Arabidopsis thaliana: one gene and its partner. The protein of the gene in region 1 interacts with the protein of each later gene in a pairwise test. Each region holds a gene or a part of one and is shown on either strand. Other genes may lie near its edges.

Evidence for each region.
Region 2: the proteins of AT2G41835 (region 1) and AGL18 interact in a two-hybrid assay, tested with the Arabidopsis thaliana proteins (one large-scale study listed by BioGRID).

The regions. Positions count from the first base shown.
Region 1 is NC_003071.7:17,457,130-17,461,579, reverse strand, and holds AT2G41835 (zinc finger (C2H2 type, AN1-like) family protein), read left to right. Parts: upstream 1-1,888; 5' UTR 1,889-2,165; coding exon 2,166-2,264; intron 2,265-2,819; coding exon 2,820-3,560; 3' UTR 3,561-3,881; downstream 3,882-4,450. Other genes in the region: AT2G41840 (Ribosomal protein S5 family protein), read left to right, coding at 182-877, 1,403-1,564. UniProt on the Arabidopsis thaliana protein: May be involved in environmental stress response.
Region 2 is NC_003074.8:21,231,718-21,236,680, forward strand, and holds AGL18 (AGAMOUS-like 18), read left to right. Parts: upstream 1-1,754; 5' UTR 1,755-2,192; coding exon 2,193-2,374; exon of another isoform or gene 2,375-2,894; coding exon 2,895-3,003; intron 3,004-3,096; coding exon 3,097-3,152; intron 3,153-3,240; coding exon 3,241-3,340; intron 3,341-3,424; coding exon 3,425-3,466; intron 3,467-3,566; coding exon 3,567-3,608; intron 3,609-3,690; coding exon 3,691-3,839; coding exon of another isoform or gene 3,840-3,843; exon of another isoform or gene 3,844-3,927; coding exon 3,928-4,018; 3' UTR 4,019-4,261; downstream 4,262-4,963. UniProt on the Arabidopsis thaliana protein: Probable transcription factor involved in the negative regulation of flowering, probably through the photoperiodic pathway. Prevents premature flowering. Downstream regulator of a subset of the MIKC* MADS-controlled genes required during pollen maturation.

The DNA of each region.
Region 1 (4,450 bases):
TTTCTGTTTAAGTTACCAAAACAAACCCAACAAGGCCTTTAGAAACCCTAAAAATCCTTATTGTAGCAGCTGGAGCAATATATATCCCAATTTGCCGCAACTAGGGTTTTCTCTTCCTCACGCAAAGCAATACATCGCAGTCTCCCACTGATTCAGCAGCTCTTTGAACTACTCTTCGACAATGGCCGAACGTGGTGGAGAACGTGGTGTTGAGCGTGGTGGAGAACGTGGTGATTTCGGACGAGGATTCGGAGGCCGTGGAGGTCGTGGAGATCGTGGAGGGCGTGGACGTGGAGGCCGTGGTGGTCGTCGTGGAGGGCGTGCCAGTGAAGAAGAGAAATGGGTTCCAGTGACCAAGCTTGGTCGTCTCGTGGCGGCTGGTCATATCAAGCAGATAGAGCAGATCTATCTTCATTCACTCCCGGTTAAGGAGTACCAGATCATTGATATGCTCATCGGTCCAACATTGAAGGATGAGGTAATGAAAATCATGCCGGTTCAGAAACAAACCAGGGCTGGTCAAAGGACTAGATTCAAGGCCTTTGTTGTCGTTGGAGATGGTAATGGTCATGTTGGGTTGGGAGTGAAATGCTCTAAGGAAGTTGCTACGGCCATTAGAGGAGCGATTATTCTCGCTAAGCTGTCTGTTGTTCCAGTGAGGAGAGGTTACTGGGGTAACAAGATTGGGAAGCCACATACGGTTCCTTGTAAGGTGACTGGGAAGTGTGGATCTGTGACAGTGAGGATGGTTCCAGCTCCTAGAGGTTCTGGTATTGTGGCTGCTAGAGTTCCTAAGAAGGTTCTTCAATTCGCTGGAATTGATGATGTTTTCACTTCCTCCAGGGGATCCACCAAAACTCTTGGAAACTTCGTCAAGGTTTGTTCTTTTTTACTTTCATGTAGTTACCTATACACGAGATTCGTTTCCTTTTGATTGGTTTCTGGTAGTTTCTTTGAAATCACAATTTGATTATTCGAAATTTGAGCATTTTCTGTCATTTTAGTACAGTAGTAGCTATATAAGTAGTTCCAGGAGTCCATTTGGTTAGGAAAAATTCTGACTTCACACTGTATTTGATGAAATATCTCTGGAAATGTTATTGGTGTATTGATGGAAGAGAAAAAGTGTTTCTCTTTCGTCTAGTGATTCTCTTTAGCTGTAATGAATGATCGCTTTGTAGGAAACCTTTAATGTAGCAAATGAAGAATAGATTCAGTTTGGCATCTCTTGATACTTGACTGTTTTCACTTGCTTATGATGTGTTTGTTTTCTTGCTAATTCACGAGTTTTGTAACTTGAATACAATATACCCTCAGTTTTTTATCCATGTATAGTATTCACTTGTACCTTAGTTTTTTTCACGGATGAATAATTGTTTTCATGATGTTGATTAAATTGCAGGCTACATTCGATTGCCTTCAGAAGACTTACGGATTCCTTACCCCAGAGTTCTGGAAGGAGACAAGATTCTCTAGATCACCATACCAAGAGCACACTGATTTCCTGGCGTCCAAGGCTCTTTCGACCAGCAAACCCGACCCAGTGGTTGAAGACCAAGCCTAAACAATGCTTCCACCTTGTGTTCTTTTTGGATTATAATCCTTCATGAGTTAATTTTGGTTGAACCTTTGGTAGTATATGTTGCTGGATTGTGCACCTTCTGTTTTCATCTCCTCTTCCAAACTACTTTATTTTTGCTTATGGATCTTAATGTTCTAGTTTTGCTTTTACTTTTGTTGAGAAAAGTTAATCCAGTGGTGCCAATTTTAATTTTCATCAATATTCTACCTCTACAAGTTTGGTTTATGATATAGACTTTGTTTGATATAACATGTTCAATAGACGAACCATTACTGTGAAGAACATTCGATGACAGGTTCTGATTCTTGGAAAGTAAAGTTAAAGAATTTCCTGAAAATTTCCGAATGATTCAAAGTATTGACTTTTTTTTAATTGGATTGTTCTAACATAGACAAAAGAGAAAGACTGAGAATATAGAAGAAGAAATCAGTTTGACATTTCCCACATATTTGAAAGCTTTCACGGCTTCTGCGATATTTCAGCTCATCTAAATCTGCAGAATCCTATTTCTTTTTTTCCTTGAGTTTCTCTCTCTCGCCGGATATAAACCCTATTTTTGGTCGGAATTGTTGTTCGAATTCGAATGGGGACTCCGGAATTTCCAGATCTGGGGAAACACTGCTCCGTCGATGTTTGCAAGCAAATCGATTTCTTGCCTTTCACCTGCGACCGTTGCCTACAGGTTCCTTTCTCCTTCTCTCCTTCTCTCCTTCTCTCTGTTTATATTCACATGCAAAGACTCGATTTTTATGTTTTCGCGAATGGTGTTTGACTCTGACTGAATCCTATATCTCTGGGATCAACGATAATCATGCTGTTACTTATTTTCTCGTTGGTTTCGATTTTGTACTTTAGGACTAAGAAGAAGATTGAATTGAAGTCTCGAATATCGAATTTATCACTTGAATCCTTTTGGTTATCGTTAGGTGTTAAGTTAACTGACATTTTGAGCTTAATTATCGGTATTTTGGTAAATTCCAATTTCTTCATTCTTGTCTCAGAAAAATTCTGCTCGTAACTAATGTGATGATTCTTGACTGCTTTCTTGATTCAAGAGAACAATGATTCGTGTCTGCTCTCTTGGTTCGGTTGTCTGTTCTCATGTTTCTGCTAGATCCATTGACTGTTGACGATTTGAATTTTGTTTTTGAGTTAGCGCTCTGGTTTTCTCTGAATCTTTAGTGTCAAAATGTTTCCTTGGTTTGGAGGAAAAGTCTTACATTGGAAATTTTTACAGGTGTTTTGTTTGGATCATCGAAGCTATATGAAACATAGTTGTCCAAAAGGCGATAGAGAAGATGTGACTGTAGTTATCTGCCCACTCTGTGCTAAAGGAGTCCGATTAAACCCAAACGAAGACCCAAATATAACATGGGAGAAACATGTCAATACCGACTGTGACCCATCAAACTACGAAAAAGCTACAAAGAAGAAGAAATGTCCCGTTCCAAGATGCAAGGAGTACCTAACTTTCTCCAACACCATCAAGTGCCGAGATTGCAATGTCGATCACTGCTTGAAACATCGTTTTGGACCTGATCACACTTGCCCTGGACCAAGAAAACTCCCATTCATGGGTTTCTTGAGTAGTAGTACCACCAGAAAAGAAGCTAAGACAACAAGACCCAACAAAGCTCATCCATCAACTTCATCATCTTCTTCTTCTTCGAGATGGTCTAATCTCCTATCTTCAGCAGAAGCAGGAATTAGCAGGCTCGGTAATGACATTAGCCAGAAGCTACAGTTTTCGAGCAGCAAAGATAATGGTATCGTGGAGGTGTGTCCACAGTGCGGTGCGAAATTCTCTTCGGTTACTTCTCTTGTGGAACATGTAGAGAAAACACATGAGAGGAACAAGAAGCAGAATCATGGCAATGTCACGGTCGATGTCTGCCCTAGATGTAGCAGAGGATTCCGCGATCCAGTAGATCTTGTGAACCATATCGAAAGAGATCACCGAGGCACTTCGAAAGCATAGGAACATATGCGTTTACAAGCCACACATCACAACATAACTTGTGAAAGGTACTCAAACATCTTTGTATTTTTCTTTTCATATTTGTACTGGTTTTAAACAACCAAAAAAAATGTCACATTCTTTGAAAAGTCATGGACTCATGTCCAGAAGTGTAGCCAGAAGTGTAGTAGACTAATGTTATCATTATCCTTGGGCCTTGGCCCTTGGGCTTTGGGTGATATGGTTTTTTCAATGAACAATATGAGAAGAAATTCAACGGCGACCAATGTGGTTAAGTCCGTTAAAAAATAAGGGTAAAACCGTAAAAGGTTACAATTGGCGAGTTCGCGGGAAATTTTACCCTCTTTCCGCGGTAAGAAAAAAAAAACAGATTGCTGACCCCACGTGACCGTCATGTGCAGTTAACGACGTTAATGATAAGTGGCAGCTAACTTAACGGTGCAATAAACCTTAAATCTTAACGAATTGAATGTTTCAGTACTTTTTCTCTTAAATTCAAAACGTGGTCATGTCGAAAGAATTCGACTTGATTTCACCACTAGCATCCTAATCTAACATTTAGCCTTTATAAAAACCAGGTTAAATTGACTTAAGTGAAGTGTGTATCAGTTCTATAAGAAAAGAAATCATAGTCAGGGAATTAAAAAATTACATATCTCCAAATAAAACTTTCTTCTTCTAGAGTGTATAATACACAATTACACATCATGCACACACACACCGTGTGAGTAAGTAATTAACTAATTATAGAATAATTTAAGAGATTATTTGCTTTATTAGCAGTGTATGAGCTGGCCAAAATGCAATAACTACCTCAGCAAATTTCAACAAAGCAGGAAAAAAATTAAAATAATACGTTATATAATCAAAGCCGCTTATATTCGCATCCG
Region 2 (4,963 bases), on another chromosome or scaffold:
TTTGTACAGAGAATGCATAGACTTTCTTTTGTGTCGTACCTAATGACACAAATTTACAAGCTTTTGTTCTGTATAGAAATCACTAACCGGAGAATACCAACTAAACTGAGTTTTTTTCACACTTTTTCCACTGAGTTCATACCACATTCAACTGGGTCTAAGGGCCCAAATATTATTTGCTTTATAGGCCCAAAGTCCCAAACATGCTAATCTTTCATGATACCTCCTCCATACGTCTTTTTTACAATTTTGTGTGTTTTACAAAAAAAAATTTTGCTTAGTAATCTATTTGTTAAGATTTTTTCCGTTTCTATTTGATAAGAATATATTCGATATATTTTCAATTTATACTGTATAGAGTAGCTTGTTATAATTATCATCAAATTTCATTGTTTTTTTCATAAACAAATATGATTAAAATTGATCTAGAAGTCTGCACGAAGAAAAGTAAAATGGAAACAAATTGCAGATTTGCATGTAATTACGACAAGTGGCTCATTCTCTTTTTTAGCATGTTACAGAAGTGTCTGGTTAATGGGAAAAAAAAATATTGAACTTTCTTTTATTTTGTATATAAACCAACCTTATGTGAGTAATATCCCAAAGAGGTTTCTTTTAAAATATCTTTGGGTTTTTAATTCATTTATGGGAATTTCTATAACAAAATTTCACCACAAATAAATGTTGTTCCTTTCGTAGAAGAAAACAAAATCTTAAGAAATCACGTTATTTTCGTATTTGATGGTAGTTTATAAATTTCGAAAGATGATTCAACGCGATTCATACGAGATATTATTTTTTTGACAACAACAAAAGATAGTAAAGTGTTAAAAAAAAATGTGTAAAGTTTTATGGAGTATAATTTAAAGATTTATCTTGAATTGAGAATGTGTAAATCACATTGGTTAAAGTGGAACTAAATATTTTTTTAGTAAATTATTTGTTTTTCTCTAGCTTAGTTTTAATTTCAATTTTGGAAAAGGGAGAATATTGACCAAAAACAAAAAGAGCACGATTAAATGACCTAACACTACATTTAGAAACACGCATCTGAATTATTTACATTGCAAAACAAAAGTGTTGAGCTGTATAGCATGTATTTATATTTACTTAAATACTTTCCATATCTATAAAAAGATATTTGCTCACCAAAATTTCACAACCGAACTAATTTTATTTATTATTACTAATGTTTAGATAATTCCACAAATACAGTGTAATTCTCAAAATATAATTTCGGTTACAATAGAAAGTCTTCTCTAGAAAGAGATATTTTTCTTTTACTAAAAATACAACAAACTCAGTTTGGAGGGGAAAGTAATCTTCCTTGTGAGATTTTACTATCTATAGAAACGTTAAAGCCACACCTTTTGCTTTTCTTATCATATTCTTCTTCAAATACGGCCACGTTTGGCCATTCTACTAGATCTCAACCCAAAAAAAAGAAACAAAATCTCAACCAACAAGAAAACAAAGCTAAAGAGAAAAAAAAGAACACAGTAGTTGTTATTTCATAAATCTTTTAAAGATATGAAAATATCAGTTATTAAATAAAACAGTATCCAAAACAACTAAAAATAAAGACTATAATAAAATGAAATAGTTGATCAAATATTTCCTTATTATAGGGATCAACTTTATTTGACTATATAAAAAGTAACATTTCTGTAAAGCAATAAAACAATAAAATTATGGAAGATTAAGTTTTAGAAACGTAATAAAAAGCATGATGACCTAAAAGCAAAGCCAAAAAAGAAAAACCCTAGAAGATAAAAAAAAAGGGAGGCGATACACGAAATAGAGAAGAGATCCAAAACCAAAACAAGGGCGTTATAAATGGGAAGAAAGTTCCAAAAGAAGAAAACAGCCACTCACACCAAGCAAAGCAAATTAGCAAAGCCACCAAATATGGAAAATTGCTACTTATAGTAACTCCCATCTTTTTATATAATACCCTAATTTTGGTCCTAATTTTCCTTCCTTAGCCCCTTTCCCAATATTTGATCAATTTCTAAAGAAAACCCCTTCCTCTACTAGTCCTCCTCCTATATATACAAAATCTTAAGAAATCTCTCTACTTGTTTCCTCTGTTATCATAATCTCTTCTCTCTATATCTCTTCTCTTCTTCTTTTACCCTGTTTTTTTTTTCATTCCACAGAGCCCAGGTTGATTGATTTTGTTATTCAGAGATATGGGGAGAGGAAGGATTGAGATTAAGAAGATTGAGAATATCAACAGTCGTCAAGTCACTTTCTCTAAGAGACGAAACGGTTTGATCAAGAAGGCTAAAGAGCTTTCGATTCTCTGTGACGCCGAGGTTGCTCTTATCATCTTCTCCAGCACCGGCAAGATTTACGATTTCTCCAGCGTCTGGTATATTAGTTATCATCTCATGATTTTGCTTCTTTTTTTTTGCTTTGGGGAAATAAAAAGTTTTGCATTTTTATGGGTTTTTGTGTCTAAAGTAAATGAAAACAGAGCAACCCCTGTTTATCTATATCCTAATCTGGCTAAATCTTTAGGTTGATGATGAAATAATTTTGATGGGTTATGATTTTAAGGTTTGGAGAATTGAGATTACGATTTTTGCTATCGGATTAGTTTGTGTGTTTTATAAACCCTAACTGTTGATGAAACTACAATTTGGTCACTATCTTTGGTATCAGAATTTGGGAGATGCATTTGTCTATGTATATATCAGTTGTTAGAATCTCAACTCCAGAATTCTGAAAGATCGTTAATTTCTAAGATTATTAGACCATAGAAGTGTTTATCTTATCTTTATGAAGAAATTTGAGAATGCAGAAGTTTAGATTCATGATTTTTTCCTGTAATGATCAATCAAACCAATTACGGGGTTTTACTAACGGAGAGTTTTGTTCAATTTGTGAAGTATGGAGCAAATTCTTTCTAGATATGGATACACTACTGCGTCCACTGAGCATAAACAACAAAGAGAACACCAACTTCTAATTTGTGCTTCACATGGAAATGAAGCTGTGGTAAGCAGAGACTCTCTACCAAGAATTTATTTTTGTATCCCTTTGTCTGTGTTCAAGTTTTTGGTTTACCTTACATGGTATTCGTTGTTGTAGTTGCGAAATGATGATTCTATGAAGGGGGAACTTGAAAGATTACAGCTTGCAATTGAGTATGTATCTCACTGGAAAAAGAACTTGCGTTTGTTCTTGGTTAAAGTTTCGGCCTTTCATCGGTTTTTTCTACTTGTTCGTGAACAGGAGACTTAAGGGTAAGGAGCTTGAAGGTATGAGTTTCCCGGATCTTATTTCTCTTGAAAACCAGTTGAACGAGAGCTTGCATAGTGTCAAGGATCAAAAGGTGAAGACAAAATACTAATTTATTCAAACATCGAGAGATGATTTTTGATTCATCCCTGTCTTGAAAAGTTTTGTTTTGATTCAGACACAAATCCTGCTCAACCAGATTGAGAGATCCAGGATACAGGTACGAACAGAGCTCCTCAAATGTCAGAATCATTGTTATTATCAATTCGTATACAATGTTGAATCTCAACACTCTTGTTTTGTTTCCTTGTCATTAATAGGAGAAAAAAGCATTGGAAGAAAACCAAATCTTGCGCAAACAGGTAAAGATTCATCAAAACCCTTATATTAGCTCGGTCTGGTCTTCACCAGTCATAACTGAGTTCAATTCTAATTTGCCCTCAGGTTGAGATGTTGGGGAGAGGTTCAGGACCAAAAGTGTTGAATGAAAGGCCTCAAGATTCTAGCCCAGAAGCCGATCCCGAGAGCTCTTCATCAGAAGAGGATGAGAATGACAACGAGGAGCACCATTCCGACACTTCCTTGCAGTTGGGGTAAACTGCAAAACAAAGCCCTAACTTCTGTTACAAGCTTTTATTGTTACTGAGCATTCTACAAACTTGTTGGTTTGATCTTTCTTAGGTTGTCGTCGACGGGGTATTGCACAAAGAGAAAGAAGCCGAAGATCGAACTGGTCTGCGATAACTCTGGGAGTCAAGTGGCTTCTGATTGATGGAATCGATTATTTTTCTAATTCTGGTTGTTTAGGGGTCTCTATGTGTCTTCTTGTTTCTGGCTGTTCTTTTGCTTTATTTCATCTCAAGTAGAGTTTTCTTAATGTTTAGGTGGAACATTTTTCCATAATCAAGAAGGGATTTGATCAATCAATAACATTAGATTTTCTTAGTTAAAGACTTAAAGTTGCCCACACACCACACCATATGTGATTATGATGAATTTACATTTTATAAACAGGTTTTCAGTGATTTCAAGAAACATAAGCGTGCATTCATTTTTTTTTTGCTTTAACTAGAACCCAAATCTTCAATAGTTTTCATGAATCGACTTTGAAAATACATAAATCCACAACATTAATATGATTAAGCATTCTTGAAATCCTAAGTTAGGTGAACAGAGAGTTAAGAGTAAATGCTCCTAGACATGGTTTAGTCGATTGCAGATAATTCGGGTCAGCAAAGAAATGTGATCACTAAGCAAATCTGGGTTGCGTAAACTCGTTGACAATAAACGGAAGCGTCTTACCCCTTTTTTCCGGCCCACTTCTTTACTTGGGCCAAATAATTTTATTTTGGGCTTTTTTTAAAAGGATGATCTTAATTGTGTGTGGGCATTTAAGGGCACCGACAATTCAAAGGTAGCCGACGGCTTACAGAAATATGGCTGCTCAGATCATCAGAGACCCCATACAATAAATATTTATGTTTCGAGAAATAAATCACCAGATGGTTGACAAGTTGCGGCAGTAAGTACATGTTACTTTTCTTGTCAGAAAGTACAACAACAGTACTTTTTTTATAGTCGACACTAAAATTAAGACTCGTATTTAGTAATGCAGAAAAATCTTTACAAAAATATACTATATACTCCTGAGAAAAAGCAGCTGATTTGACTGAAATAAAGAAAATGTTAGTAGTCTAGTAATGATTTGTGAACTACA